Rhinolophus ferrumequinum: one gene and its partners. The protein of the gene in region 2 binds, or shares a complex with, the protein of the main gene of each other region. Links are inferred from orthologs where the notes say so. Each region holds a gene or a part of one and is shown on either strand. Other genes may lie near its edges.

What was found.
Region 1: the proteins of SF3A3 (region 2) and SF3A1 are in contact, whole or in part, in an NMR structure (PDB 2DT7), measured with the Homo sapiens proteins. The link is inferred for Rhinolophus ferrumequinum from reciprocal best matches to the Homo sapiens genes SF3A3 and SF3A1. Residues at the interface, in NP_006793.1 of Homo sapiens: Glu80, Phe81, Glu83, Phe84, Tyr85, Arg87, Leu88, Ile91, Lys92, His95; in NP_005868.1 of Homo sapiens: Ala161, Phe162, Asp165, Val166, Leu169, Thr170, Phe173, Asn177, Phe181, Gln184, Leu185, Lys188, Phe195.
Region 3: SF3A3 (region 2) and SF3A2 share a complex: the UniProt entries of both Homo sapiens proteins name them as parts of the SF3A subcomplex of the 17S U2 SnRNP complex. The link is inferred for Rhinolophus ferrumequinum from reciprocal best matches to the Homo sapiens genes SF3A3 and SF3A2.
Region 4: SF3A3 (region 2) and HTATSF1 share a complex: the UniProt entries of both Homo sapiens proteins name them as parts of the 17S U2 SnRNP complex. The link is inferred for Rhinolophus ferrumequinum from reciprocal best matches to the Homo sapiens genes SF3A3 and HTATSF1.

What each region holds. Positions count from the first base shown.
Region 1 is NC_046308.1:19,547,470-19,555,146, reverse strand, and holds the start of SF3A1 (splicing factor 3A subunit 1), read left to right. Parts: upstream 1-4,230; 5' UTR 4,231-4,330; coding exon 4,331-4,393; intron 4,394-7,327; coding exon 7,328-7,449; intron 7,450-7,677. Other genes in the region: CCDC157 (coiled-coil domain-containing protein 157), read right to left, coding at 4,005-4,065. UniProt on the Homo sapiens protein: Component of the 17S U2 SnRNP complex of the spliceosome, a large ribonucleoprotein complex that removes introns from transcribed pre-mRNAs.
Region 2 is NC_046292.1:26,530,457-26,538,970, forward strand, and holds the start of SF3A3 (splicing factor 3A subunit 3), read right to left. Parts: upstream 3,162-8,514; 5' UTR 3,065-3,161; coding exon 2,969-3,064; intron 2,682-2,968; coding exon 2,634-2,681; intron 1,347-2,633; coding exon 1,294-1,346; intron 1,189-1,293; coding exon 1,083-1,188; intron 1-1,082. UniProt on the Homo sapiens protein: Component of the 17S U2 SnRNP complex of the spliceosome, a large ribonucleoprotein complex that removes introns from transcribed pre-mRNAs.
Region 3 is NC_046301.1:61,018,848-61,026,322, forward strand, and holds the start of SF3A2 (splicing factor 3A subunit 2), read right to left. Parts: upstream 3,053-7,475; 5' UTR 2,899-3,052; intron 216-2,898; 5' UTR 178-215; coding exon 52-177; intron 1-51. Other genes in the region: PLEKHJ1 (pleckstrin homology domain-containing family J member 1), read left to right, coding at 3,590-3,683, 3,773-3,840, 3,921-3,987, 4,821-4,911, 4,989-5,052, 5,128-5,193. UniProt on the Homo sapiens protein: Component of the 17S U2 SnRNP complex of the spliceosome, a large ribonucleoprotein complex that removes introns from transcribed pre-mRNAs.
Region 4 is NC_046284.1:19,784,801-19,792,928, reverse strand, and holds the start of HTATSF1 (HIV Tat-specific factor 1), read left to right. Parts: upstream 1-4,792; coding exon 4,793-4,978; intron 4,979-7,259; coding exon 7,260-7,440; intron 7,441-8,095; coding exon 8,096-8,128. UniProt on the Homo sapiens protein: Component of the 17S U2 SnRNP complex of the spliceosome, a large ribonucleoprotein complex that removes introns from transcribed pre-mRNAs.

The DNA of each region.
Region 1 (7,677 bases), on a different chromosome or scaffold from region 2:
CCCATGCAGCCTGTTTCTTGTCCATCTTTAGAGTCTATGGACATCTGAAGACAGAGATTTGGATGAACCATCCATGGCCCCTGACTCAGAAGGTGGAGAAGTGACACTGCCCCAGCCCGTCCTCTGGCTCATTGCACGCCTCGGGGGTTCTCCTCTCTGGCACCTGCCGTCAGAGCCAGCCCTCTCTTCAGAGCCAGGCAGCCCTGTGGACGCTGAGTACTGGTCCCTCCCCACCCTGTGCATTTCTCAGCATCAGAAAGTGCTTCCTTGCACCACAGCCCCTCCTGGCAAGGGCCGTTGGGCAATATTTAGACCATGGCCCCTTGGGCCCACAGTAAGTCCAGGACTGACCATGACACCTCTCTTCCTCCAACCTATTTCTACCCCCCAATCTCTCTCATCTCAGAAAATGGCACCCCCACTGAGCGCACCTGGGCACTTCCTTGAGTCCCCTTCCTTTACTTCCACATCCAGTACCAAGTGCTGCCAATCCCATGTCCAAAGCATGCTGAGAACCCAGCACTTCTGTCCATCAACACTGCTCCACACTCACCATCTCCCCAGACCACTACCACAGCCTCCAAGGGGTCACCCTCTTCCCTTTGCCCAGCACCACCTCTCACATTCTATATATGAAGCCAGAGTGATTATTTAAAAAGGCAACTCCTACCCCAGCTAGAACCCCTGAATGGCTTTCTACAACATAAAGACTGGACTGCTTCCCTAGGCTCGAGCCCTGGGTGGTCTGCCCCGACCTCAGCTTCTCCCCACCTACAATTTGCGCCCCCCACCCCCATACTTCCTCTGGATAAGATACCTCCCTCAGTTCCCCAGGCCAGGTAAAGTCCCGTTACACATTCTCAGAGTATCCTGTTCTTTTCTATCCCAGCACTCACCACACCAGCACTGAATCATTATTTGAGTAATTATTTGTGAGGGGCAGTCTGTCTCCCTGCAAGCGCATGGACTGTCTTTTGAGTTCACTGGGGTATCACCTGGCCACCTGGGCCAAGGGGCCCGAGGGCCAGCCTGTGCCCACAGGTGCTGGGACACTCAGAGGTACCCAGGGGTAGCTCCCGAGGGCTGAGCTGGCCTCTCTGGCCTCCCAGAGTACTGTGCCCTGTTCTCACCTCTGTGTAGGTGACTGCCTATGGAGCTGGATGTCTGCACGGGCGCCTGCCCAACTCTCGGACCAGCCTAAGGCTCAGGGTCAGAGGCTCATCCAGGTACCTGGCTTCCTGTCTCCAGTGCAGGGCTGGCCCCAAACAGCTCTTGGGTCCCTGGGAATGGATGAAGGCAAAAGTGAATGAGCGATCACTCAGGGAGAGCTTATTGGAGGACAGGGAGGAGGCTGTCCCAGAAGAAGGAGAGTGTTCCCGGCTGGATGAATGGGGTGAGGGAAAAGGCAGGTGGGGTCACCTGAGTTGAAACTGCACATAGACAGCATCCGTCAACCGTGCTAGTTCTGACCACAGGACCTACTGTGTACCACTTCCCTACTGTGTACCACTTCCCTACTGTGTGCCACTTTCTTTATACAGATGAGAAAACTGAGGCTCTGGAAAGTTAGGAGGTTAGCCTAAATTCACTCAGGGAGCTGGGATTCTTGAGTCCAACATCTCTGTTGTCCTCAGGCCATGCTGCTGCTGGAGCAGCACTGTCCAAAGGAAATATAATGAAGCCACATATGGGATTTCCAATTTTCTACTGGCCACATTAAAAAAGTAAAAAAAGAAAGAAAGAAAGAAAGAAAACAGCTAAATTAATTTTAATATTTTATTTAAATATTATCATTTCAACATGAAATCAATATAAAGTCATTAAGGGGATTAAAAAATTTTTTTTTAATTTTTATTTTGTTTTGCATTGAGTCTCAAAATTCAGTGTCCATTTGACACTTACAGCATATCTGAGTGTGGATCAGCCACCATTTTCAAATGTGCCACCACATGAGCTGGTGGCCACGGTATTGCACAGTGTAGGTGTAGAGGGCCAGATCCTGTGTGTTCATTCAGCAAACGGTGACTGAGTACCTACTATATCCTGGGCACTGTGTCAAGAATAGGGATAGAGCAAGGCACATGGAGCCCTGTCCACGAGGAACCATCATCTATATCTGAGGGTCTCTTCAGGGAGCGAATCATGGGTGTGTCAGCTCTATCAGTCTCACCCACAGGGCCCTGAGTATCTACCCCACAACACACACACACGCACACACACACACACACACACACGCACGCACACAGGCCCATATCCCATACATATATGTTGCCGTGGTGACTGCCTCTAGTGAGATATTGCCACCCATGAGATTTTATGTCCCCAAGAAATGAGGCAGAAACAGACAGAAAAAAACAGACTGAAACATCCTGGTTTTCCTTTTTGGAAAGGGAGGATGGGAATAAATAAAGCAAGCAAGAAACCCTACCCTGGAAGGAGGCGCTGGAACTCAGGAGCTTGCTTATGAAGACACCAAGAAACACTGACCTGTTCACCCTCAAATAACTCTATCTGCCATCTGAGGCCATCTAAGATACCAACTCCTGTTAGATTCCAGTTCTGATAAGCACCAGCAAATGCCAAAGAAGCAAGAATATGTAAGACGAAACTGCGACATTAAAAAATAGCCAAGTTTACCTGTCAATTCTTCTGAACATTGGGGATTTGCAGATATCAGCATGGTTTGAGAACCACTTAGGTGTGTGTCAAGTGTAGGAGCATTTGACATCAGCTTTCTAATTCCTGGCTGAGTGAAACTCTGTCTGAAGCTGCCAGCCCTGCACAGTTCCTGAGGTCACATAGGTGATGGTACTAATTGAGCCGACACTGCCCTGAGGTAGGAGGGGCAGCTAACTGCCTTTCCTCAGTTCCCTTAAGCTCAAGGTAGACTTCTCATTCACAGAGAAGGGAGGGAGCCTTTCCTCCATTCCCATTCAACATTCGAGCCTCTTCCCTCTCTGAGCCCTAGGACCCTACCCCTCTGGTAAAGATTATGCCTACCTCCCCACCAATGCACCTGCTGAGATTCAAGGTCACCACCATGAAAACCCCTGGAAAACCATGTATATGGCAATTGTCAGTCTCTGACTCAGGACTGTGAATTGCCTGGATCCCTGGGGACACTGAAAAAACCGTGTGAAGACAAAGGAATAAGTAACTGTACTAGTAAAGGAGTAAGAATGGCCTGGGTTTGGGTTCCCACTCCACCAACGCTGAGCTTCACTGTCCTCATCTGAAAAGAAGTTGCTATAAGAAATAATTGTTGTCATGCATGCAGTGTTTGGCACAGGGTTTGGCTCATGGTAAATGTTCAATAAATTCTAGATATCATTATGATTCTACATTAATAATAAACAACAATGACATAAAACAGCTATGAGGTGTGTGTGCGAGAGAGCATGAGAGACAGGGAGGAGACTTGGGAGGGCATCTCTTCCTATCATGCCCCCATTTCACAGGTGAGGAAACTGAAGTCCAGACAAGGCCTCAGAGCTGGCCCGCATTCAGGAGTTGGAAAGGAGGGGAGAGGGTACGGGGAGGAGAGAAAGCAAAAAGGGCGGGATTCAAGTAGTGCCTCAGGGAAGCGAGGAAAGTAGCCTACAGGGAGGTACAAGGGGGAGCGAGGGGGTGAAATCTGAAGCAGCTGCCCCAATTTGACACAGTCCGTGGGACTTGAGGGCGGGACTGAGGAAGGCAGGGAGTGAATCTAGAAAAGGCGGACCCACGGGAAAAGGGACCAGAGATAGTTACAGCTTGGGACTTGGGAGGGTGCTTTGGGGGAGGTGGGCCTGAAGCGAAAGAGGGGGATAAAGCAGAAAGGAAGTGGGGCTTTGAAGAGGAGGGCCCGAGGGGGTTTTCCAAAGTGAGAGACCAATTGGAGGGAGCTGGGGCCTTGAAAGGCGGGGTCGGAGGAAGCGAGGAAATGGCCAGTGGAGTAAAGGAAAGGTGTGCCAGTGGAGTAAATGGGGAGGCGTCCGGCAGGTGATGTAGATAGAACGTCTCACCCGTCTCCGGCGTCGCAGCCTCAGCCCCTGTGTCTGGTCGGCTCATAGAACTGACTGGCATGCCAGCCACTTCTGTGAAACCCGGCAAACTCTAGCCGTGTGCCCCGACCGTTGCCATGGCAACGGCGTCTCGCAGGGCGACTCCCATGGAAATTACGTCACGGTGAAGGGGCGGGTCCGGAAGTGCGTCAGCCTTGTCTCCTCGGCGGCGACTCTTTCGGCCGCCGCCATCTTGCGGGGTCGTCGTACTCGCGCTGCGGGCACCGTTTTGACGCAGCGCTGCTCACCTACACCGAGGCGGACTGGCAACCCTGAGCGTCGCAGTCATGCCGGCTGGACCTGTGCAGGCGGTGCCCCCGCCGCCGCCTGTGGTCACCGAGCCCAAACAGGTACCGTGCCCCCTTCACCTCAACCGCCAGCCCGAGCCTAGGCCTGGGCGCTCCTCACTTTTGCAGGAAGAAGCGGCCGCCTAGGCGGGCTTCGAGGGACTGCAAGTCCCAGGAGGCAACGCGCTGCCCTCCAGTAGCGAGCCGAGCTCTGGGACAGTGATTCTCCAAGCGTGGTCTGCGGACCAGCTGCGTCAGCATCACCTGGGAGTTTATTAGAAATGCGGAGTCTCCACCCCAGGTCTTTTAATAGGAATCTTCATTTTAACAAGATCCCAAGGCGATTCATTAAAATTTGAGAAACATTGTTCCAGCCCATCCACCGGTTTTCTGTGGCAATTGGACCCACCGGCTCCCAGCCTTTGCCCAGTTACCCCTGATTTCCCAGCCTGCGGGGTACAGCTCTGAATGTTAATTCTCAGCATCTACTCGGTGCTTAGCCTAAACCAGACACCGTGCCAGGCTTCCAAGTTACTGGAATGAGTGAGGCACAACTCCTCCCTTAGGGAGCTCACAGGCTAGTGGGGATACAGATATACTTAATTCCTCAACAAATGGTTAGTGCCCCATCACTGTAAATAACAGAGTGGAACTTAAAAACATCTCAGGTAACCGAGGAAGAAAGACGTACATAAACAGTTGCAGTATGTTGTGATTTGCCCTATAACAAATTTCAGGTACAAGAGAGACAGTAATCTAATGACCATTGCTTTGACCGGGTGGAGGGGAGATTAAAGTAGGTGAAGCCCACAGGCGTGCGAGGTAAATTGCTTTTAGAAGGATGAATAGGAGTTCAGCAGGGAGGTGATTGGGGGAGGGAAATGGCATTATTTATTCATTCAGCAAACGTTTATTGAGCACATATTGTGTGCTGACCACTGCTTTGGGTTCAGACTACAGTGGGGAACATGACAGAAGAGGTCCATACCCTTTTTTTCCCCACATTTAATTTTTTTTTTAATTAAAGTTTATTGGGGTGACAATGGTTAGTAAAGTTACATAGGTTTCAAGTGTAAAATTCTGTAATACATCATCTCTATATCCCATTGTGTGTTCACCACCCAGAGTCAGTTCTCCTTCCATCACCATATATTTGATAGGTCCATACCCTTTCCACAAATATTTAGGCACCTGTGTGTCCTGGCATTTTCCCAGTCGCTGGGGAAAAATAAAGTGATACCACGTAAGTGCAAAGACAGCAAGATAGGAATCAGATGGTGCCTCTGGTGAAAGGTAAATAAGTGTGGTTGAAGCACAGTGTTGGGGAAGCGGTGGCAGGAGATGCGGTTCAGAGGATTTGAACTTCAAGTAGACAATGGGGAGAAAAGGATTTTAAGCAGGATAATGACACATTCATGTTTCAGAAATTCAGGTATATAAGCAGTGATACAAAGAACTTCGCAAGGAGGATGGAGGATTCGTCATTTTATTTAAAAAAAATGCTGAGGGCCTGGCTACATTGGGGGTGAGCAGAGGGTCTGGCAAGCTCATGTCACAAAACGGCTTGTAGTACAGGCTCTCCAGCCGAAGTGGTATGTTGGAAATCTGGTTCTGCTGCCATCTGGGCCAGTTAAGCGCTCCATTCCTCAGTTTTGTCATCTGTAAAATGGAGATAATTAAAGTATTTACCTCACAGGGTTCTCATAAGGGTTATAAGAGTTAATATAGTTAAAGTGCTTAAAAAAGCATATGGCACCTACTCTGCTCGATAAATGTTACTGTCACTGAATGTGGAGGTTGAAGAAGGGGTAGGAGGCCCAAGTTTCTGGCCTGGTTGACCAGGTGCCTGCTTGGCCATTCATGAGGAAGGAGGATAGAGTTGAAAGTACCTAGGAGCCAAGTGGATCTAAAGCTCTAGCACACAAGTGATTCGGGACATTCATTTGGGCGGGATTGTTCAGCCTAGAGGTGGTAGGGGAAATGGAGGATGTGGTTGTGAGTTCTGGCCTGAGGACAGTGTGAATACCGGGAAGAGAATCAAGAACAGAGTTTTGGGGGTGCCCATTATAGCGCAGGAGGGGAACCAGAAACCAGGAAGGACTGGGATGGAATGCTGAGCAAGAAGGAAAGACAGGCGAGAACAGGGTTTGGGAGTTGAGTGGAGAGTTTTGTGAAGGAGTGGTCATTGATCACGTGGTCGGGTAACTGCTTAGTGGGCTGTGTGTAGGTAGTTGCTTTTGACTTTGGCAAGAGCATTTCAAATGGATGGGGACCAAATGGGAGGTGAGGAAGTGGGAACAGTAAGGCTGTGAAAACTCAGGATGTTTAGCTAGCGGAGGAAGGCGGGGGAGAAGGCCGCAGCAGAAAGGAACATGAGGTCAGGGGAGAAACTATTTTTCTGAGACTTGACACTTTGTTTACTAAAGGAAGACTGGTGAGGAAAGAATATTGCAATGTATTGATAATGAATGTTGAGTATTCCAGTGGAGTTTCACAAAACATTTTGAGCATTGAGTGGTGAAGACTATGGGTGGATACAGAGGAGAGGGTATTCAGTGCAGAAGGAGCAGCCAGCAAGGAGTGTCCTGTTTCTTCATTGGGCAAACAATCGCTATATAGCCGTCCCTTGGTGTGGGGCTTTCTAGATTCTGGAACATGGTTTCTCAGAATGTGGTCAGAGCTCTCTGCATCTGAATCACCTGGCCTCTTGGTAAAAATACAGATTCCCGGTGTTACTGAGATGGTCTAGCTAGGGGAGCCAGGGAAGCTGCTTTTTATTACTAGTTCCCTAGGAGGGTCCCATGTAAGCACAATGCAGTTAAGAGAACCACTCTTCTGAAGAAGAGGGTTCTAACCCAAAGGAAGTTTGCAGGAGAAGGTCTAATGCTCTCAGAAATATGCTAGAAGGGTTTAACCTGGGGGGAGGGAGAAGGGAGAGGGTGGTCCAGCCTCAAATCATGAACTTTGAGACCTCAATTCCTTTTTTCTTTTTCACAGCCCACAGAGGAAGAAGCATCTTCAAAGGAGGATTCTACCCCTTCCAAGCCAGTGGTGGGGATTATTTACCCTCCTCCAGAAGTCAGGAATATCGTTGACAAGACTGCTAGCTTTGTGGCCAGGTAACATAGCTACTTCTGCTCATGTGGCTCACGCGTGGATTTTAGCCCCAAGCGCTCCTGAATTCGTACAGGGCAACACTGGGTTTTTAGAGAGCCGTTGTTGGCATAGGCCCATTAGCTCATCCAAAACCGCAACATGGAGCTGAGGTAGGCAGCTGGCAGGCCTGACATCTCTAACACAGTGCAGCAGTGGCACATTGTGAGTCACACCCAGTCCCAGAGTCACCA
Region 2 (8,514 bases):
AAAAATTCAATTTCTACTGCGGATGGGTTATCTCTTTCTTCCTTATTTCTATCAAGGGAATAAACAATTTTCCAGTTACGCAGTCATGAAAACTCAGAGTAATTGCTGACCCATCCCTGTCCACTTCTCCTATAGCCACGACTTGTACCCTCCCACCCCCCGGCTGCAAATTCCTTTGGTTAGCTGTGCAAGATGCTTAATGGATTCTAGATAATTGAGACACAATCCCTGCTCCTTATAATCTTATAACATTGTGGGGCACTTGTTCATTGTCATAAGATATGATAGGATCATAAAGAAAGGAAAGATTAATTGCGGGCAGTAAGACTAGGAAACATATTTCATGGGAGTTGGCCTCTGGGCTGAATCTTGAAGATGCAACGATCACTGGAAGTGAGTAAAGCCTCTTTGTGTTAGTTGGATCCTCTAGGTATCAGATTTCAAGACAGTCAGGAGCACAAGCAGTTATTTTTTTTGGGGGGGGGGCTGTGTGTGTGTGCATAACCCCCATGAAAGATAAAACGGTGAGGAGGATTAGGCAGGGAGAGCCTAGGCCACAATACAGATAGGACAACACCTTGACCATCCCAATGGGGAGCTCTGGAGCAAAGAATATTCTTAAGAAGAGTCTCACATTGGGTAGAAATAGCCAGGCTATAGTATGCTCATGGTGCTTCATCACTGGTTTGGGGCTGCCCAGAAAGAGAATGGGCTTAAATCTGAGAGGGAGCTTCAAAGAACTGGAGTTGCAAGATGTTGACTAACTACGCTCCTTGCAGCTTAATAGCAAGTTCTTTTTTGAAGGGACATGTGAGTGGCACATCTCCATTTTTTTCTTTTTTATAATTTTATTATTATTATTTTTTTAAATGAGTCTCTTGGGGTGAGCGGTTAGCTCAGTTGGTTAGAGCGTGGTGCTAATAACACCAAGGTTGCCAGTTCGATTCCCACATGGGCCACTGTGAGCTGTACCCTCCTTTAAAAAAACCAAATGAGTCACTTAATTTAGTTCCCTTTTCCTTAAACCTTTCCTTTAGTAGGCTCTTAGGCAGGTTTGGAGAAAATTTTTTTTGAGGTCATACCTCATTTGGGTGCTTCCGGTGGAATTCCTTTATTTGCTTGAGTCTATTATAGAATTCAGCAAACTCATTGGGTCCTGAAATGGCATTGAGCTCCTCTTTTCGTAACCTGCAATTTCAGGAAAAATCCAAAGAACATAAAGCATAAAATCAGTCTTTTAACTATGGCTCCTCAGAAGCGTTAACTCTTGGTCTGGCCATGACTGTCACTTACCCATCCTTATCGTCATATAAATCCCTCAGGTTCCCACTGACTTCCATATACCTCTGAAAGGCAAACACAAACCCATGAGAACGAAGCAATCTGTACAACTACAGAGCTAAGCAACCAACGAGGGCTCTCTAATCAAAGAACAGGAAAACCATGAGCAATGTGGTATTAAGTAATTTTAATACATAGCACTGCATCCTGGTTAGTTTTTAAAGATTTGAAGACTACCTAAGTGATGTAATTTGAGGGGTGGCAGAGTCCCTGTATTTACATGCTGATATTTAACTGATACTTAATTTTCCCTAGAAGAGTCATAAAAGCGAGCCATAGGTTAAGCAGCAGTTGCCATCTAAGACCTTCAAAGATAAAAGGGTAGCCCAAGATGATTTTTCACTACTTCAAAGAGCTTGACTGAGGAGTGTACAGGCTAAATAAAACATCACACAGCCTCCTTTGAATTCTAATTCAGGACGGAACAGATACATAGTGCCTTCTCCAAAACTTCTGGGACAGATTTGTTTCAGAATTTGGAATTTTCAGGTTCAGAAAGATACTATATATTATGTAAAATCCCTAGTGGAATCTGGAACAAATAGTAATAGTTCTGCAGTGAAACCCACGCATTATTTACCAAGAGGGATAAAGGCCATAAAAAGCCTCTCTCATCTGTTCAGGTCAGGTTTTGCTGCCAAATGAGATCAAGTTAGATATTGCCAAGTAATACCAAAACAAACAAACCAACAAACAATGAACTGTTTTCAGAGTATTTCGGAATTTGGATATGGAACTACAGGCTTGTCATACTAATTATCTCCTACAAATCAGGAACTCTGATTAGGTGTTTTATTACTTTCTAAACAAATTTCCAACATATGCAAGAGTAGAGAGCTGGGTATAACGAACCTCCATCTACCTATCACTCAGCTGTCATGAAAACCAACACTTTGATTTTGATTAGTTTTCTAAAAGGAATCAAACTATTACTAAGCAAATCACACAACGTAGGCAAAAATACTTCACCACGATGCATCCTCTTGTGGAGAGAAGACCGGACCTTCAGCGCCAGTCACTGACTCCTTATAACTATTTTTTGCACATTCATGGGATAGGATGCTGCAAGGGGCGCCTTTCTGAGTTATTAAGAATCAGTAAGAATTCCCCATTAAGATGAGTGAGAAAGGGCAGTTCAGCATCTTCAGGCTTAGCAGCCGCCTGGACAGATAACCCGGGGCTGGCCAATCTTGTTCTTTTTGACCAGGGCTCGTGAGACCCCCCACACCTCGCCTTCCTTCTCTTTCTCAGCTCATCCCGACCCAAAGAGAAGAGGACAGCGAGGCACTCACATCTTGCATGGCCCGTGTGCGGTGGTCAGAATTGATCTGGTCCCGGAGCTAAAGAAAGGCAAACGGTGACACAGACGCCGTTAGTCGGAGTTTTGGAGTTGGATAGGCCGCCCGAAGGCGGAGCTTACCCGCTCAGGTCTTAGCGGCTAAAGCAGAGAGGCCTAGGGGCGCTGGACATCGGAGGAGGTTACCAAGACCGGAGAGGGAGACCCAGGAGGCGGCGGGGGTGAGGGGGGTGGCGCGGGGCGGGTCTGCGGCTCACAGAAAGCTCTCAGACAGTACACACGGGGATGGGGCCCAGCCGCAGATGGAGCCCCTGCCCAGGCCCCACTCACCGTGGACTTCTTAGTGAGCATCTCTTTGGCCATGACGTCCATGAGCCGTTCCTTCTCCTCGTGATATCGCCGTTGCTGCTCCAGAATCGTCTCCATCTTCCCGGCGCCGCCACAGCTCAATTCAGACCACCGACAAGGCCGGAAGCGACTCCTGCCGCCTTGCGCGCCTGCGTCCCCACGCAGCGCGTCCGCCGGCACCAAAGTTCCGCGGTGCCGGAAGTGCCTCCGTGAGCGGAGGGACGGTGAGCACCGCAAGGCGATCCAGTCTGTGCTAATGGAGATGGCAGCAGTGCCCCCTGCTGGCCCAGAGTGCGGTGGCGTGATGCCGGTTGGTTTGCAGGTACCTACCTCTAGGGAGCACCCAGAAATCCAGGAACCCGACTCTGCCGCTTCCTGGGCTTCCTGAGGAGTTGATGAAGAGCGCGGAGGGGAGTTAGCGGACCGGAACTTGAGTCCCTAGCTCTCATTGTGACTTCTGATAATGTTTTCCCTTTCTCTAGACCTCAGTGCCCTTGTCAGTAAAATGGGGATGATGGTGGTTTTGAGTTGTTTCTTTTGTGGACGAAAGGGGATTCTGTACTAAAACTGACAAGTCCAGTGATAGAAGGTAACCTCAGAGAGTGATCTTATCATAAATTCCTAACTGGATAGGTAATGCCCCAGGCAATATAACTTTTTTAGTATCAGTAAAAGGTTTAAACAAATCCTGTCCATTCTTCTTGTGCATCTAGGTTAACATACCTTTGAAATACCAGCGGAATCCTCTTTTTCGGACCCGTCTTGGTCAGCAAGTAATCAAGGGCTATGCAATTGTCAAGGACCACATGAGCAAGGGAATCTAGGAACTTTTGCTGGGCAGCAATACTCAACCTTTTCTTTGGCTGAATATTCCCATGGTGGCAGACAAATTCCTAATCATATTCCTATTGAATATATTCTGGCACTCGGGCTTAGTATGCCAAGTTTACCTTGTCCTATATTGTCATCATAACTGGCCAGCACTTCCCCTTTGGGTCCCATGATATGCCTTTGGTCCTATTGAAATAGTTCATTGTTAAAATAATTTGTCTTATGGAAGGGGGGGTGGTGCTTATGAATGGGTAAAGAAGTGACAAATTGCTCCAACAGGCAGAGTCCTTCCATTTGCCAACTGTTTAAACATTGATGTGCCCATCCTTTAGTCGGGAATCTTCTCCTATACCGAAAATAAAATGAACTGTCCTCCCTGAACTCTCCTTTGTGGATTCATTCATAGGCACAATTGAGAGAATTTTTCCAACAAAGGATAAGACTGTTTACGTGCTTTACAAAATTCATTGGGGTCGTATCCAATGGAAGGAACAAGTTTACATAATTTGTTTATATCTTTCTTTTCAATTTTGTCACGTAGACATTTAGAGAAATTCAGTGGAGATGACAGGGGCAATGCATAATGATAAGCAGGGGATAGATGTCTCTGGTTTTTGAATAATGTCTACCTGAAAGGTGAAGTTGGATATGGGTTGGTCTGGGAAGACAGTGACATTGGGAACAGTATTAAAATTGGTAACTGGAGCAACTAATGACAAGTATTGTTCTTTTATTGATTTAGGGATTTGATGACATATCCAATAACCAGTTAAATTTCCTCCCTTAGCAGCACTGTGAGAGAATTTTACTAAAATATTATCTTTCCAAGCATTAGAGAAATGAGGGAGTAAAAAAAAGGAGAACAACTGGATTTGTTATCATGTTGATAATCTTCCCTAAAATACAGGGTAGCCTTATAAACAAAGATCAGCAAAAGATAAAGACAAGAAACTCAAGTTAAGAATCTCTGTAAGGACTGATGTGTTACAGGCCGGGTCCAGTTTCTTGGGAATGGTTATCTGCTTCTTCTCATCCTGTTGCCTGGCTTTTGGTTAATTGGAGTTTGGTTTCATTGATGGGCTGGGAAGCCCATTCAGCAACAGGGTCTGGGACCTTTTTTAAATGAGAAATGTGAATCTATGAGTCAACTTCTTGTAAGTTAACAGCACATGGATTTGTCATAAGTACCTGATAAAGCACTTTCCAGTGGGGCTGAAGAGTCTTTGAGTTGGTGTCTTTTCCAATACACAAATTCCCCCTGCTTGAGGCTATCAGAGCACTCCTCTGTCTTCCAGAAGCACACTGTTGAAAGACTCTTTAACAAGGTTAGTGTTATTTTGTAGGGTGTTGATAAACTCCTTGCAGTAATGTAGGTGATCACCTTTGATAAGTACCAGCCAGTGCAGTCCTTCATCTAGGTTCATAGGACAACCTGTGATAATCTCAAAAGGGGAAAGTTTATGTTTTCCAGTGGGGGTAGAATGAAGGTTAAGGAGGACCAAAGGGAGGGCCTTGGGCCAGGCAGACTAAATGCTGTGTAAATTTTTGCCAGTTGGGTCTTTATTATTCTGTTGGTTTGTTCTACAATCCAGAGGGTTGAGGATGATAAGCACAATGGAAATGCCAATAGATAGATCAAATTTTACAAATGTTTTGAATAATTTATTCAAAATGAATTTGTATTATTCATTTTACAAATGTTTTGAATAATAGGATGAGTCCTTCGGTCAGTGTGAAGGTCTTGAGGGATTCCCCAAATTGAATATTAGAATAATTTTTTCTAATAGGGCCTTAGCTACTGCCAGGGCCATGTCTTGATGGTAAGGGAAAGCCTCAACCCAATGTAAAAATAAACAGATCATGACCAGCACATATTTATAACCGTATGAGAGAGAGAGTTGGATAAAGTCTAACTGCCATACCTCAAAAGTCCCTATTGGTAATGGAGGGCATGCAATAGTTTCCCAGGGTTATATTGTGGACAAATTTTGTATATCTGATATATCTGGTGGGCAATAGTGGGTGAAGGGCCCAATAATGTTGTTTTTCCCACTGGACCATTTTCTTAGTGTTCCAAGGAGTTAATGAATGAAGGTTAAACTCTCCTTTCGGAGACCGTTGGGGAAGACAGTACTGTTATTAGGGCCTACCCATAAGTGTCAAAAAGAAGGAAAGGAACAACCTTGTTTACTATGTTTCCCCCTTTCATCCTCCACAGAAATGGTCTGAGATTTAGCTAGTCTTTGGTATAGGTGAGAAACTGGAAGTAAAGCAAGAGCAGATGAAGTTTTTATACCGTAGGTTATCTCCTGTAAAGTGGCCGATTCGGTGGTGGTATCGGCCATTTCATTTTCTTGTGCCTCCATATTTTGGGCAAAAGAATGTCCCTGCATGTTAATAATAGCTAAGGCTCGGGGAGTCAGTGTGGCACCTAGGAATGACAGGACATAGCTTTACTTTTAGTTTTCTGTCCAGATAAAGTCAGGAAACCTCATTGTTTCCGGAGCATTGCAAAGTCATGGGTTATTCCAAAGACATATCTGCTGTCAGTATAGATATTGCAGTTTTATCTTTGGCTAATAAACATGCCTTAGTAAGAGCATATAGTTCTGCCTGTTGGACATTGGCATCAGGTAGAATGCCAGGTTCTATGATTTCATTAAGGGACACAATGGTATATCCAGTTTGGTAATTGCCATTGGGTCCCTTAAATAGGATCCGTCAGTCAACCATTCATCGTCTATGCTTGGAAGTGGGGTTCCTTGTAGATCCAGTCATGGGGTAAGGAGTTGGTCTGTCAATGTAATACAGTCGTGAGGGGTGTTATCATCTGGAAGAGGAAGTAAGGCAGCAGGAGTAAGTAAGTTGCATCAGGGAAAGTAAGGTAGGGTGAAGACAGAAGGAAGACTTCATATTTGGCCAGACAACTAGCAGGAAGATTTTGAGTATGATGGGAACTAAGGATAATTTCAACAGAGTGTGGAACACAGACAGTAAAAGGAGATCCCATAGTTATCTTCTCAGTAGCCTTACAAAGCACATAAACAGCGGGTAAACAGTGGCAACTGCCTTAAGGTAAGGGGAAAGTTCTCGTGTGACTGGATCTAATTGCTGACTAGCATATCTTATAGGCCTGTTCTGCCCTCCAGGAGGCGGAGTAAGAACCCCTTAGAGCATTCCCCTGACTTTCATGAGAGAAGAGGTGAAAAGGGAAGTTATAATTTGGATGCCCTAAGGTCCCAGCTAAGATAACCTGGATTTTTATTCTTTCAAAAGATTATTGGGCATCAGAGGTCCATTGTAGGGGATCACGAGAGAAATTCTTGAGTAGTTCATAAAGCAATTGGGACATGAAGCAAAATTTAAGAAGCCAGTTCCAATAATAACCTGCAAGTCCTAAGAACCCTTGAAGTTGTATTTTTGTTTGAAGGAGGGGGGAGTTTAAAATGCCATGGTGGCATGATGGATCAAGATTTAATCCTTCTGGAGTTAGGAGGTGTCCTAAGAATTTAATGGAGATTTGACAAAATTGGAGTTCCCTTTAAAAATCTTGTGTCCTTTGGAAGCTAGGTTATAAAGTAAATGGAAGCTGTCAGTGAGGCAAGCCTCTTCAGAAGGAGAACATAAAAGTAAATCATCAATGTATTAGAGTAAAGTGGACCCACATCTGAAGGAAATGGTGGCTAGAATCAGCCTTAAGGACTGAGGAGAAATAAGTCAGGCTTTCTGTGTATCCTTGAGGAAGAACAGTCCAAGTAAATTGTTGGCCTTTCCACATAAAGGTAGAAAAATAAATATTGGCTGTCTGAGTTTATTGAAAAATGCACTGTAGAGATCAGTAGCTGAAAAGTATCTGCTTTCAGAGGGAACACTGGAGAGCAAGGTGTGGGGGTCAGGAACCACGGGCTGTCAGAAAACGACTGTATGATTTACGGCTCTGAGGTCTTGAACAAATCACCCCCCTCTTCCATTGGGTTTACAGATAAGTAAGATGGGGGTTGTACAAGGGCTGGTTCTAGGGATAATTAGGTGATTTTTTAAAAGTCGTCTACTATAGTTTGTATTCTGGCCAAGGCCTCAGAGTTTAGGGGGTATTGTTTAATATTGGGGAGGGGATTACTGGGATCTATCTGTATTTTAATTGGGTGTTAGACTGTGCTGAAAGGCTTCTGGGCAGCCCTTGGAGAGCAGGATGTATATTGTTGATGAGGCCAGTTGAATAAATGGGGATTTAGGCGAGAGCCATCTCAGAGATAGGATCCCCTGGTGAAGATAATTCAAGTATCATTCCCTTTTGAGAAAAAGGAAATATGGGCTTGGTAGGTTTCTTTAAAAATCTCTTCCCAGGTGGTGTATGTGAGCTGATGGAACAAGTAAGAAATGATGGTTACCAGTAAGAGTTCTCAACTGAAAAGGGGTAGGTAAGAATGTAGGGTCTGTCACAGGTTGGTTGGCTACCCCAACCATCTGGATAAATTCAGAACTCCAGGGAGAGGACCCTGAAAGCTCGTTGGAGTTGAGAAGAGACAGGGTAGCTCCAGTATCAATTACCACTCTAATCAGTTCGTCCTCAATTTTTACATCTAATTCACCTAATTTGTTTTAAATAGCAGAAATGTCCCTTTAATATCCCCAGAGCATCCCTAGTCTTGCTTAGAGAAAGAGGGTTGGGAAACTTTAGCAGGATTAAGTTGTTG
Region 3 (7,475 bases), on a different chromosome or scaffold from region 2:
GTCCCCGGGAAGAAAGGAGGCTGTGGGGAGCCCCCTCCAGCCCTACCTCACCTTGTTTATGTCAATGGTCTCCAGAGCCAGCTGCCGGAGACGCTCCCTGCGGTCCCGGTTGCTCTCCGAGGAGGAGGCCACCCCTCCACTCCCGGTCTTGCCCCCGGGGCGATGCTGGAAGTCCATGGTGAGGGCCTTGGGGTTTTATTGGACTGGGGAGAAACCTGGAGAGCAAAGGGGAGAGGCAGTGAGAACCTGGTGGCTGTCACTGGGGCCTCCCCGGGATTGGTGGACGGGCAGGCAAGGAGACCATGCCCCCCAATGTTTGTCTCTCACCCCGCACTCCTGCCACCCCCCCCCCATCCCGTCATCCCTCCATCCTAAATGGCCAGAATAAGCTCCTATGTTGCCAGTGGCTGGCCGGGGTTGGGAAAAGCCCCTGTCCAGACAATATGATTGACTTAGGGAAATCTAAGCCCACATAAATACTCAACCGCTCACCAATCAGGGCAAAACCAGTAACCACTGGAAACCAAAACTGCTGGTTACTCAAAGCCCATTGCTCCCGTGTTGTCCCTCCTCCCCTAGCAGCACCCCCACCCCAAATGAACTGAGAGCTCACAGCCTGGGATGAAGGTCTTTCCACAGGTATCTGGGCTCCTGGGCAGATCAGTTTGATTCTAAGAACTGGAATGAGGGGCCTCTGGCCTGGGAGCCAGGCACAGAGAGGCTGTGGGTGAGGGCCAGGTTGAAGAGGGGATTTCATCAAAAGCTGCCCACTGACCAGCAGGCAGTCTGCCCTTCCCTGCACCATGTCCAAAGGCAGGTGGCCCCGGTCAGAGGCCCCCAGCTTAGGGAGGACTTCAGGAGACTTTTCTGGGGAAGGAGCGCCAGGGAAAGTATTCTCAGACACTGACAGTAGGGGTCCCTCGTGCCCCAAATAAAATACCAGCTCCCTGCCAGGCCAACTGAGCAGTGAGACCCATCAGATGAGAAGCACAGACAGCTCTCACACACAGAGGTGGCAACTTCACGTAACAGACAAAAAGAATCTCTATACAGCTGAGAAAAAAATAAACCTGATGGAAACCTCAATAGACGGTGCCAACACCTTGCCAAGGGTTAGCACAGTGAATTAAAACCGCAACGAACCCTGGGAAAGAAGACAGGGTGATCCAAACAAAAAATTGAATATGAGGGCTCGGAGGTAAGAGTCAAAGACATATCTCATAAGGAAAACAAGAGAAAAAGGAAAACATATGAGGCAGTGCAAGAACCTTGATGAAATTCCAGAGTGAAAACAGACAGAAACACAGAGAGTCTTATCAAAGAAATAAATATTATCAGAGAGCTAACACAAAAGCATTATCAAAACACTGAAAGAAAATGCCCCAGGGCTGAAAGGACCTATTCCTTGCAATAGAAACAAAAAGACTCTCAATAAATGGATCATGAAACTGCACACCAATGAGGAAAATCTTCCATTTGCACAAACAGAAGATCAGAAGCGAAAGGTTAGAAAGCAGAATGGGGCCAGAGCTCTCAGAACTGAGCATGTAAGAGAAGCAATACTCCCACAGTTCTCAACGTAGATTTTTAACCCCGAGTTTTCATTTTATATCCGAACTGTGAGTGTAAGTAAATAAAGCCATTTTCAGGACTCAAAGGGCTCAAAATCAATCAATCAGTCCATCAATCAATTTCTTCAAAAGCTACCCTGCGATTGATGGGCCGATAGGAGGAAGAGGAGATAGTCAGACTGGAAACAAGCCAACCCGAGAGCACTGACAGAACGTTCTAGGACAACTGCTTCTCTGTAAGGTGAGCAACCAGAACAAAGTGAAGCAGGAGTATGTCAGCATTTGGGAGAGACATTTCTATGGCGGAATTTTTTTTTAAAAAAAGGACCAAGTCCTCTAAACCTGTGGAAAAATACAGTCTATCACCGTTTGAGGTGATGGAACTTTGAGGAAAAATTAACAGGAGGAAAAGAAAATCAGGGTAACAGGAAAAATGAAAACATTCATTAGCTTCGGGGTAGTGGTTGGGGGAGAACAGTACAGGAAAAGCCGCACAGATGAACTTGTTACTTGCCTTAGCCACGAAGGATACTTTCAGTCTCAGAAAACAGAACTAATAATTTGACTAAAGCTTGCGATATATAAACGCATCCAGGGTAGGAGGGTGAAGTGGGAGTGGGTGGGAGGCAGAAATACGACCTCATCAATCACGTAAGAAATCAGCAGGTCGCGTCTGACACCAGCACATCCAGAAAGAATGTTTACGGAGATAAAGACGGCTTTAAAAATTGAGCAGAGGCGGCCTCCGGGGCAGAGGACCGAGCAGGGATGAATGCCAGCTTTTGATGAACATACTATTATCTCCTTAAACCTGGCAGACAGTTTATTATCGGGAGCTCCTCTCGCACGTTCTGCAAGGCCAATGGGTAGAAGAAAGAAGCCGACCGCGCATAGCAGTATGAGTGGTGGAAAGTCATTTAACCTCGGGGCTTCGCTGGCGAAATGCAGCCAGCTAACTGGCTCTGGTGGCCTTCGGCACGGCGCTGGGCACTCTACTCCAGGACCTTATGTATTATTTAGTTGCCCTGGAACTGGCGATCGCTGTTACCCCCATTCCAGTTACAGAAACTGAGGCGAAGAGGAACCGAGTGACTCCCGTACCACAGAGTCTGTCAACTAACGGATGCAAATTAATGCTCGGAGGGGTCCTCGGTTACACGGAAGGCGCCATGCGAGCTGCTACCCCGACCCAATCCCAATGGGTCTTTGGAGAATCCCAAGCGAGCGGAGGGCTCCGGGGACCCAGAGGCCCGTCATTCCCCGGGGAGGAGGCGACGCGGCGGCCCGCCCTCAGCCTGCGCCCCCGTCGCAGGCGCCCCTCGCTCACGTCTGCTATCTCCTAGGGAACTCCGGGCTCCGGGGCCGCCGCTCTCGCTCCGCTTTACACCTGCACCGGATGCAGCGATCCCGTTGCCTTTTCAGTCTCCACTGCCGCCACGACTTCGTCCCGCGAACGCGCCCCGCGGGCTAAGAATGCACTTCCGGGGCAAACGGGGCGGGCCTCCCATGTGCGCATGTCCGGCCCAGCCGATAGCGCGAATGAGCAGCTCTGTAGGTGCCAGGAAAGGGAGCGGGACTCCGTGCAGGCTGGAAGCTGAAGTGCGCATGCCCAACAGGCTCTCAATGACCTCTCGGTCGGTTTTACTCGCAGGACCCAGTTCTCGCGGGAAGGAGGGCAGCGACTTGTACCCAGACCTTCCGCCTATTCTTGCCCATTTGGGTGCCACGGGTCGTAGGGGTGTTTTATTTTTTCTATCCTGGGCCTAACACTGCATGATACATATAACAGTCTGTCTTTGACTTTCCCGTGGGCCCCACGAGGGCTCCACTCGATCTCTGCTGCCCCCGGGACGCCAGCGCCCTTCGCCGGTGATTGACAGGATGGGCAGCCCTGGGGCGCGCCGGCGCAGTAGCTCTGGGAGAACTTCCGGGACGTGCCCTGGGACATTTTTGGCGTGAGCGGGGACAACGGCCGGTAGGGCGCGGCCGGTACTCTACGTTCTGGGCCTCGGGGCGCCATGCGCTACAACGAGAAGGAGCTGCAGGCGCTGTCCAGGCAGCCGGCCGAGCTGGCGGCCGAGCTGGGCATGCGGGGTCCCAAGAAGGGCAGCGGTGAGCAGGCCAGGGCCGAGGGTCGGGGCGGGCGGGCAGCGGCGGGTTGGGCGGCCGCCAGCCCTCGCGAGCCCGCCCTGTGTCCGCAGTGGTGAAGCGACGACTGGTGAAGCTGGTGGTTAATTTCCTCTTCTACTTCCGGACGGATGAGGCAGAGGTAGGGCGGCGGGGAGGCGGGTCCCGGGCTGGGGGCTGGGGTCCTAGGGTGGCCCGCCCATTCGCCCCGTCTGCCCCCAGCCCGTTGGAGCCCTGCTGCTGGAGCACTGCAGAATCACCCAGGAAGAGCCCAGCGGCTTCTCCATCAGTGAGTGCGGGGGGTGGGGCCAGGCCGGCCATGACCCCCAACTCCGCCCTGCCCCGTCCCTTCCCAGGAACAAAGTTCAGGGCTGGGCTCCTTCCCTGTGGTGCAGGCTGTGCGCATCCGTCCCAGCCCCTCCCTAGCTGCCACCGCAAGGCCACAAGGGCTTTGTCTTCTCTTGGGGAGCATAGCCCTCGGGTCAATGCTTGCTGTATTTACCCATTTTCAGTGCCGGGCTTTGTGCATGGGACCCCGGAGGATTCTTCTGGGTCTCTTTGAGAGGATGGAGTTTTCAGGGAAGGCCGGAACTTCTAGTGTCCTGGGGCTGCCACAGACGGGGGGGGGGGGGGGGCTTCAACAGCAGAAACTTACTTCTCTCACTGCTTGAGGGCAGAAGTTCAGGTTGGGGTGTCGGTAGGACTGGTTAATTCTGAGGATAATTTGTCCCAGGCTCTCCCAGTTTCTGGAGGCTTGGCAGCTTCTGGCATTCTTTGGCTTGTAGACGCATCACCCCGCTCTGCGTCCATCGTCTTCTTGGCCTTTTCCCTGTGTGTCTGTCAATTCCCCCTTTTTGTAAGGACACCAATCCTATTGGATTAGGAGTCCACCGCACTCCAGCATGACCTCACCTTAATTAATCTGCAATGACCCTGTTCCCAGATTCTGGGAGCTAGGCCTTGAACCTACCCTTTTGGGGGACACAGGTCAACCCACAGCCGGTGGGAAGCGAGGAGCCTGGGCTGGAGGGGACAGTTGTGGACAGTGGCAACAGACAGCTGAAGCCTGTGGTTGGTGGGGGTGGGAGTGAGCAGGGACACACGGGGCCCCTCCCTCTGCAGGCTTCATCGAGGACCCGGAGAGGAAGTACCACTTTGAGTGCTGTAGCGAGGAGCAGTGTCAGGAGTGGATGGGGGCTCTTCGTCGAGCCAGGTGGGGCATGGGCGGCCCAGGGGGCCTGGGGTGGAGGTAGAGCCAGCCCTGTGAACACAGGCCACTTTCTTCTCCAGCTACGAGTTCATGCGCCGGAGCCTCATCTTCTATAGGAATGAGATCCAGAAGATGACCGGCAAGGTGGGCATGGGGCACACGGCTCGGGACGGGGGTGGCTCGTGGCCTGGGGCTCACGCTATGCTGTCCACCCCACAGGACCCCCTGGAGCAGTTCGGCATATCGGAAGAGGCCCGGTTCCAGCTGAGTGGCTTGAAGGCATGAGTCCACGATCAGGCTCCTCACACTCACCAGTTTTGAGGAGCCCCCCCCCCCCTCCCAGGGACCTGGATTTATGGAGTGAGGTGTTTCGGCTTCAAGACTCCAGAGGCCCCAGGCTGCTGAGAGTGGGCAGGGGCTGTGCCTTGGGACCCACCAGACTGGTCCGGCACCTCTTGGTGCCACATGCTGCTGCCGGGGAGTGTTGTGTCTGGCCCCGCGGGCACATCCCTCCAGGGCCTGGCGAGGGAGGCCCGAAGCTCCTGCTCTGTGCAGGCTGAATGCATGAAGCTGGACGATGCTGTGAAGGGCACGGGGCTGTGAACTGTCCTGCTGAGGGCGAGGGCCGGCCCTGGCTGGAGGCCGCTGGGCAGAGCTGGGAGCTTTTGCCCTTGGGCCCGTGTGCCTATTCTGTTCAAATAAAGGTACCTCTTTTTTCCACATGGGTTGGTGGTGCAGTGAATGCAGAGAGGAACATGGATCCTCCACAGGCTGGTGGTCCCAGGCCGTTGGAGCTGGCCCCTGAGGGAAGTAAGGCTCCTGGGGGACAGGTCCTTTCCAGGCCTGAGGTTTAAGTGCCTGGGAAGAAGGGGCTGGGCTGCCCAAATAGAGGGGAGGAGACCCAGAACCCAGAGCCTGGCAAGTCAGGGAGGCTGGCCCCTGGGGCCTCTGGTGCTCACAGGCCCTAAGGTAGGATGGAGGCGGGGGTGTGATGGGATCCTCAGGTGGCCCGTGATCCCACCCATCGTCACAGGGCTTTCCCTTGGGTGCACGTGGGACCTCAGAAAGGGTTCTGCCCACGTCCGAGTCGCAGTTGGTTGGTTTTAGTTCATCAAAAGGGCCGTCCTTGGGGTGCTGGACCTCGTCAGGTATAAGCCCTGCAGGGGCTGGGCCTCCCTGAGGTGGGCACTTGCAGTCTGCTAGTCACAGCGGCTGCTTTCAGGAGCACTGTGGGCCTGTTGGGAGTGACCGTCCTCTGCACTTGGGCCCTCAAGGCTAAGGTCTCACTGTGGTAACCAGGAAGAAATGCCAGCAGACCAGGTTCAAGTGAAAACAAGTCTTTTATTACAGTCTAGAGATGGAAATCAGAGTGCAGTGGGATTCCCGTAGGGAAAGAAGGCCACGCCAGCGCCCCAACTGAGACAGTCTACCAGAACCACAAAGCAGGCAGGGCCCTATCTGAGTTAATAGTCAAGGTTGAGACTGAATGGGAATGATGGCGGGGGTGGCGGGTGGTGGTAAAAGGACAAGAAAACAAATCTCCTACTGCAGACGGCGCGGATAAATAAAGGGGTGAGTGGGTCTTAAATAAGTCACGAGTCATAGCTGGAAGGGAAGGCTGGCTCCTCCTGACTGGGAGGGTCGTCCGACTTAGGTTTCCTGAGCAAAGCGCCCTCGCAGCCCTGGGCTTCCCTGAAGTTGCCCACAGTCACAGCAGCACAGGGTCTCTGCACAGAGACCAGAACCCGCTCCCCATAGGGCCATGCGGCCTCCCCTCCCTGGCAGCCAATAGTGGCCGATCGATCTCCTGGTCAGGAGGGCCTAGGGGCTGAGGGCGGGCACAGACGGAGACCCCCAGTGCTAACTGCTGTGGGGCAGATATGGCATGTCAGTATGAAGTCCACACAAGGACCCCAGTCGTCCGGAAGAGAAGCACTGTTGAGAACGGTTGCTTAGTTCCAGACCAGGGACTCGCCACGTGCTGTGACTTTGCTACTGTCAGCCTTGCAGCTTTTTAGGGGGCCCTGTGCTCCTGACAAGGGAGGGGGGGACATGGGGTTTGGGGTGAGCACAGCACCTTCGTGCACTGACCGGCAGGGAAGGGAGCCAGGGCAGCAGTTACAGGGCAGCCGGTTCCAAGAACCTGACCGAGCACCATCTTCAGCCTGGATTTGCTCTGGGCCAGGCACCACCCCAGGGCACACAGGAGGCAGGGCTCTCCCAGGCCCCCCCACTCCAGCCCCCCACCCCCTCCTCCCATCTGCCAAGGCCTGTCTTGCCCCTAGGGATCAGGATGCAGGGACCTGGCAGAAGGCCCTGCTGGCCAGGCTGGGGAAGGCGGGGCTCAGGCCTTTTCTCCAGGAACAGGTCAAATCCCTTTGCACAGCCCCACCTTTAGAAAAAGGACTTCTTTGTTCCTTGGGGGGGTGCTACCTCCTGGGGTAAAGCACCTGAGGCCAGAGCTCTGACTGCACCTGCTCCTAACCCTTTCTGGAGCTCCCACAATGGGGTCCTGAGGGCTTCTGGACTCGCCCTTTCAGGGACTCTGCAGACAACACAGGATCCAG
Region 4 (8,128 bases), on a different chromosome or scaffold from region 2:
TATTCTAAAAACAATACTTCTGACAGCATGTAACTGAGAACCCATTTTAATCCCAAAATTTAAGTTATTTTCAAGTCACAAAGCTCCCAAATATTTTATTATTTTCCTTACTCTGGGTAAAAATTACATCTTTTCTCTCCTAAGGATATAACATTTTAGAGATAACTTGGTAAAAGTACCAGATTACAAGACAGCCTTTTAGCAGTTGATTAAACTAGAGCTCAAAGAACTTTCATTTTCTACATTCTAAGTAATCCTGAAGTGACTTATGGATCCGATATAAACTAATACCCTAATTAGTTTTATAGGGCATCAGCCTCCCATCCAGAATTAAAGAATTGGGATTAAAATTCATAGAATTGTTTTGATTTTTTTAGAGGGAGTGGTCTTTTTTTTAAACAGATTTTCCTTGTCAGGACTAACCTTACAAATAGGCCCCAATATCCACAATTTCTTTCACACTGCCTATTGTTGTACCAGAAATGTTACTACAGAAGTTTGCATTTCTTTGGAGAGGGTCCTCAATATGAAGAGAGTTGGGACACATGAAGAACAAATCTTGTATACTTCTCAATTTTGCTCTGGGTTTGTCCTGATCTACAAGGTCAGACAATTAAGTTCATGAACTCATCCTAGAAAAAGTGCTACATACCTCATTGCTAATATCACTACAGTCACTGTGGGGACAGAGCCAGGAGTGCAGTTTCCAGGCTCTCGGCCTCACGTGGAAAGGTGCTGGCTCAGGTAGTAAATGGCCATCAACTCTGATTGGATGGCCATCAGCTGTGGCTAGTTGGCCGTCAGCTGTAACCAGTGAGCCACTGGCCACTAATATAACTGCCGTGGCTACGCTAGCAGAAAATGGGGGCTAGCAAGAAGATGGTGGCTGAGTTAGCAAGCGCGGATTGCAGTTAGCACGGAGGATTGCAGTTAGCAAGTGGGGTGGGTTGGCAGAGAGAAGTGGACGGCAGGCTGTGGATCATGTGTCTCCTGCTTCCTGTGTCTCCAACCCAGCCTCCAGTGAGACTGTAGTGGTAAGACTCCCCTATCTATGGCTCCGTGGGTGTTCCTTTTTGGCCTCACCATATCCTGCGTTCTTGTGCGCGGAGTGAGAGCTGAGACCCTGCATGATAGTCACCTTCAAAGTACTCCCCCTGGGAAGCTATGCACCGACACCAGCGCCTAGTCCACTCTTCAAAGTAATTTTGGAGCTGTCTTTCTGGAATGGACATCAGAGCTGTCGTTGTATTACCCTTGATGTCCTGAATGTCATCAACGTGTCTTCCTTTCAATATTTCCTTTATCTTCGGGTAAAGAAGTCACCGGGGGCCAGATCAGGTGAGTAGGGAGGGTGTTCCAATACAGTTATTTATTTCCTGGCTAAAAACTCCCTCACAGACAGTGCTGTGTGAGCTGGTGCATTGTCATGATGCAAGAGCCATGAATTATTGGCGAAAAGGAACTTTTTCGCGCGTGCAGCCTTTTCGGCACTTCCAAATAGTACAATTGGTTAACTGTTTGTCCAGTTGGTACAAATTCATAATGAATAATCCCTCTAATATCTAAAAAAGGTTAGCAACATTTTGCAACAAGTTCGCAAACTTAATTGTCAGACCTCATAAGACTGGGAATAATGGACCATAATAATATGCTATAAAGCAGGAAAACAAAGTCACAAACTTAGATACAACCAAAACGTCCAATGGGGAAGTGTTTGTCATTGAAGTTGAAAGTGCCACAAAATATTTAACTGGCATAGCTACTGAAAATAGCAAATTTGGGTTTAAGAATTTCTGCAGTTACGACTTGAGGTCAGGGATCCATCAATCTTTTTGTCAAAAGGAGTTACTTTTCTTTCCACTCAGTCTTGACATTGAAGGAAGTGGGAACAGGAAAATTCCCAAATAGAGTTAGCTTGAATAGGCCATTAAAAAAAATGTCATTTGGTATAGCTCAGTAATTTTCCAGAAAGAGTTCCTAGACCAGGTAGGTGACTTCTCTGGCCAAGAAGTCTTTGCTTTTGTAAGTTAATGTATTTTTATTTACCAGGAAGGTCACGGCCTATCAAGCCAGGAGTACAATACAGATCACCGCTTACAAAGTTCAGAGAGAGAAGAATGAAGAAGATATTCAAAAAGAAGCTGGCTGTCTGGGTTCCAAGACTGGTTCAGCTTACTGGGTCCAGCTGCTCCTGATGTGGCCCATCTACATTCTGGTCCTGGAATTTCAGGAGCTACCCCCTATCTTTATAATAATAAAGGTCCCCTCTGTTTGCTTGTTACCTTAAGTGTTTCTCTGACTTACAAAAGAATCTTGAAAAAGACAGGTTACAAAGACAGAGACGTTTACAGATTACCTCGGGATTACTAGGGAGTTAATTCTATGAATACACAGGGAAATAAGAACAAACAAGAACCAGGCCTCATAGAGACAATAGCATTGTTTAAAAAAACAATTGTCAGGTCTCATGGTAAAATAGAATGCTATTGTAGCTACAAGTGTGCTTAGCTCCCAACTCCACTGTTATGGTGACTCAGTGACCCTCTGTCCATGTCAGGTTCTCCTCTCACCTCTGGGGAACTTCACAGCAGACCTCTGTTCTGCTAGTCACCTTTCCTACGTGGGCCTCCCTGCTTTTGTGCTCCTCTATGTCCCTGTTTGTTCCATACTCATTCCTCACTGGGAGAGGCTCTTATTGGCTCAGTTCATCAAATTCAGTCTAGAAGGCAGGCTTCTGGAAAGCCTTTGGGCCCGGTTGGCTGGGTCACATGGGATGCAGGCATAAGAAACCTTTTTGACTACTTACTAAAAGGGGCCTGCGGATACAGCAGGCACTCAGAGTGTCATATGCAGTAGGGCTGTGTATCATATTATCACTTATGCTGTGAATTCACTCAGGAATTAAATGGGAACCCAATAACACATTGCTGAAAACAGCTGTATACTATTTTTGGATCCAGGAAGAAATATTTAGCAATGCTTAAATGAGCCTAATAAAACTCATGTTATCTATATTATAAACTGCATGCAAGTTCAGTTCTCCACTAGTTCCCAACACAACAAGAACTTCATAAAAAGAAATGTAATTGAAAAAAAACCCAAGATACTATTTAAAAATCATTGTTATGGTGGAAACCATGTTCACAAAGCTGGTGTTTGGGGAGTGAGAATTTTCTAGAACCTTACTCAACTGCTATGTTTAGAAGCAAAGGAAATAGTAGAAATAATTTCTTCTGGGACTCTTTCCCCCACCCTCAAGTCTGGGTTATGAACTTTATGTTTACATATAATGGGTTTATTATTTTAAAGGAATAAATACTTTTAAATGATTGTTTTGTGACAAATACTGATAAGTATAATCTATATAAACAAAAGCTCTTTGAGGTCTTCAGTAACTTTTGAGTGCAAAGGGGTCTTGAGACCAGAAAGTTTGATAACTGCTGCATCCAGTATTTCAATCCTATCATTTCCCAAGTAAGTGTGTCGCCCTTGAGCTGTGCCTGTCTTGTCGACTGCTGTGTAGCCAGAGCTTACCCAGTATAGTGCCCGGCACTTAGCAAGAGCTCAATAAATGTCCGTCCAATTAAAAATTACAGACTTCTCCATTTTCAGTGATGTGCAATTTCTTAAAAAGTTGTTTAGAGGAAAAACATTGTGTCTTTCTAAAAGAAATAAAAAACAACAAAAAAAGTCGGCCAATAAAGCTGGTGTTTACACTTGGATGTTTATGTTTCAGGTTTCGAGCTTGAGCACCTCTGAATCATGAAGTCCAAGAGGCAGGCAACTAACTGCTGCCCTCTCTCCCTTTCCAGAGTCCATCTGCAGCCTGAAGAAGGTACCACAGAGATAAAGGAGGGGGCTGAGGTTTGGAAAAGGTTAGTCCTTCCACTCTTGCTCCTTCGTTCACTCACTCATTCACTCATTCACATCAGACCCCAAGCTAGGAGCTTACGCCACCAAGATGAAACAGATTCGGCGCCTACCCTAAGCAATCAGAGAAAAAGAAGTAAAGACACATTTCCCACGAGGAGGAGGAGCCTTTGTGCAAAGGAGGTGTGGCCTTTTCTCCGCAAGACAAACCTGTTCCGCCTGCCCCATGCACCCCAAGATGGCGGCGCCCCGACTCCCGCCTGCCAGGTGCGAATATTCACACGCCTTAGGGCTGCCGCTCCGCACCAGCCCTGCCCGCCGCGGCTCCTGCACTCCGCGGCTCTCACCGCCCCGAGGCGACCGGCACGGAAACCGGTGCGTGGTAGCCGCGCGCCCCCTAGTGCCCCGCCCCTGGGCCTCGCGCCGCAGGTCCGCGTCGGCGCTTGTTGACGCCATTATGGGCGTGTCGGCGCGACCCGCGACGTCTCGTCGCGCCATCAATGGCGACTGCGTCAGTCTGAGCGGGCCTCCGTTCTCAAGTCGTTGCCGCCGGACCTGCAGTCGCCTCGACCCGGTGGCGGCGGCGGTGGCGGCGCGCGTGCGCGCTCCCGCCGCGCCCTGGATCGAGCGGCGGCGCCGAGGCCTGGCGGGGCGAGCCAGGTGGGCGGCGGCGCAGCAGAACAGGCAGCTTCGGTCCGCGCGCGTGCGCGCGCGCTCGCGGCGAGCGGGCGGGCGGATCGGGGGGCGGTGCGGCCGCTGTGTGGCCCGACCTCCCGGGGGCTGCTGGGGCGCCACGGGGAGGCGCGCCGGGGGGCGGCAGGGCGCGGGCCGAGAGCTGCAGACCTCATTTTCTCTGTTCTCCTCCAGCCTTATCTTTGCCTCTTCGCTCGCCCGGACCCTGCCCCTGAGCTAAGTCAGCAACATGAGCAGCAACAACTTGGATGGGAAGGACGACTTTGATGAGCAATTGAGAATGCAAGAATTGTACGGAGACACCAAGGACGGAGACACCCTGAAAGATCTCGGCGGAGAAACCAATTCTATCGTGCAGCAGCCAAGTGACACCCCCTACGAGTGGGACCTGGACAAGAAGGCTTGGTTCCCCAAGGTAGGAGTGTGTTACCACCGGTGCCACTGCAGAGCGGGCCCGCCTTGCGGGGCGCTCCTTGTACGTTTTCTTTGCGAGGTCCTGAGTTGGAGCCCCTACGGATAGTGACGCTTTTGTTGTTGTTGGGTCTGTTGCAGAACCAGTGTGTAAAGGAACATATATCTTTAGGGAGATGTCTTAAATGTAATTTAATTCTTAATTTTTTTTCTATGCCTTATTAATTTTATCTGTGAAGGTCACAATTGGTTATTACACTGGTGACTGCTTTTTATTGCAAAAAGGAAAAACACCAAGAGCAAACTTAGTCGCTGTTACTCTCAGGGAGCCAACGTCACTTATCCTAGAAATTCAGGTGTTTAGCTTGTATACTACGTACAAATGCAGCTTCTTGATTAAAAAAAAAACACCTAGCCATTTGTATATCTTTACTGATTGAACTTTGTTTGCACCTCTACTTTCTATTAAATTTTGTCCCTAGACACACTCACTGCTTGAGTCAAAAGTTATACACAGGTGTTCCACTGCGAGGGGGATCAGCGTCCCTAACCCCTGTGTTGTTCAAGGGTCAACCGTATTTCACTTCTGTAGTGGTAGTGCCAGCTAGGGTGCAGATTTGGTTTCTTCAGCCTTCTGAGTACTTTTAACAATAGTCTGATAATAGATTCATTTGCGACTTACCTTTTTATGTTAGGGAGGCTGAGGAATAGGACTAGAGATGCACAGAATATATGGTTGGAGAAGATCTGTGAATATTTATTTAGAGTACTTGGAGAAATCGTTAAGTATTTTATTTCAGCTTGGAAGTAAAATAACTGGTGTTAAACCTGGTTCTGTAAACTTTTCCGTAAAAGTACCCTGTTAATCAAAATCTCATATGGGTGGAAAAAAAGGATACCAATAGCACACTAATTGACTTTCAAGCCTGTAATAACAAACCCTGTCTCCATTGTGTAATTTGTTACTTTAAAAATTATTTATTTCAACTTCTTTCTTTCCTATTGTGTGTGTGTGTGTGTGTTGCATTCCTTCCAAATTTTTACATTTGCCACAGTTGACCCTTTAACAACATGGGTTTGAACTGCGTGGGTCCACTTATACACAGATTTTTTTCATCTTGTATGCAGATAACATAAACTTATGGTATCGATAAATATAGTACAGTACTGTGACTGTATTTTGTCTTACGATTTTCTTAATAACATTTTTTATCCTCTAGGTACTTTATTGTTAGGATACAGTATATAATACATACACAAACTATGTGTTAATTGACAATGTTATCAGTAAGGCTTCTGGTCAACAGTAGGCTATTAGTAAAGTTTTGGGGAGTCAAAAGTTATACACAGATTTTCGTCGGAGTGAGGGGTTTGGCATCCGTAACCCCTGTGTTGTTCAGGGGTCAGCTGTATTTCACTTCTGTACTGGTAGTGCCAGCTAGGGTGCAGATTTGGTTTCTTCAGCCTTCTGAGTACTTTAACAATAGTCTGATAATAGGTTCATTTGTGACTTACCTTTTAGTGTCATGGAGGCTCAGACCTCTTCAAACTTTGAGTTTAAATTTTTCCCATTCCTGTGTGTGTCTAACATTGATTGGTATGAAGATATAACTACATTTCTTTCATTGTGCAATCGTGCTTTTTTCTCCAAAAGCCAGGAGGATAGATGTGAGTTGGATTTGTTCTTAATTTGTTATGACACTAAATGAGAATGTGATTTAATTCACGATAAAGTTAAAACAAGCATTTTGTTTAACTATTGTTGGCCTCATTCTTTATACACCAAATCAAAGTTCCATTCTGTGTGCTCTTTGCATGCAGATATTTAAATATTTAATGTACATACACTTTGTGCATCTATATCGTTAAAGAAAAAAATGATTCTGTTGTTAGATTACTAGTTGACTATAGTTTTTGTTCTGTTTTGTTATCTGGTACTTCCTTTGTTATATGTACTTGTAGCCTTCATCAAGTAGACTGCGGAGAGGTAGTAATTTATAAATGAAACAACTAGAAAATATGCCAGTATCATTTAAAATGCCTTGATAGTAGCTCAGACTTTTGTGTTGATAATCCAAGTACCCGTGTCTGTCTTATTTTTTGAATCATTGTATGCACACTTTTGTATATAAGGTGACTATTCTTCCATTTACACTTTATTACTACAACTATTACCCACTTCTGTATTAAGTTGTATAACTGCATATGCAGTAATTTAACACAGTGTAAACTTTTTGCAGGAGGAAATCATTTTTGAATTTATGTGTGTTGAATTTCTTGTTCAGATAACTGAAGACTTCATTGCTACATATCAGGCCAATTATGGCTTTTCTAATGATGGTGCGTCTAGTTCTACTGCAAATGTGCAGGATGTCAGTGCTAGGCCTGCAGAGGAACCGCCACAAAGAAACACCCCTGAACCCACTGAGTCCAAAAAGAGGGGAGAAAAGAGAAAGGCTGACTCAGGTAAGTGGATTTAGCTTGCAAAACATGAGTGTAAAAATTTTTTAAATGTGAGTGTGTGTGTGTGTGTACAGTTACTTTTTGGAGAATTATAATGGCTTTGAAGGAATCATAGAGATGAGTGTTTTAAATTATTACTTGGGTTCATATGTTGGCTTTCACACTAACTTATTGTGGGCATTGCGTTGGCTGTTTCAGTTTTATGCCTCAGTTGCTTCCTTTGCAAAATAGAGCTATTGTTGGGGTATTGTCAAAAGTTCTGTTTGTAAGGTTATTTTCTTGTACTTTTTGAGTTTAATTAAATTGAACTCATATCAGTTTTGCTTCAGCTTGGCCCTGTCTAACACAGTAGATTGGAGTTGGAAGCAGTTAAATGCCAAGGCCTAAATTCAGTGCAAGGAGGAGTTTTTTTAAGGTAGGATCGGAATCATAACCAAGATAAACCCTCTTTTTTCAGAAAGGGCTCTGAAGCTAATTATCTGTTAAAAGATCCAAATACTTTGAAAGCTGCACAGTGGTTTGAGTTAGTCTGTCTTGTTCTAAGGGTAAGAAAAAGTTCCTGAAAGTTTGGAGAAACTGCCACATTGTCAAGATTTCATGATGTGACTTTTACCTTTTCTTGCATGTGTTTTATTTATTTATTCATTTTGATTTTTAGGATGGTTTCATGTTGAAGAAGACAGAAATACAA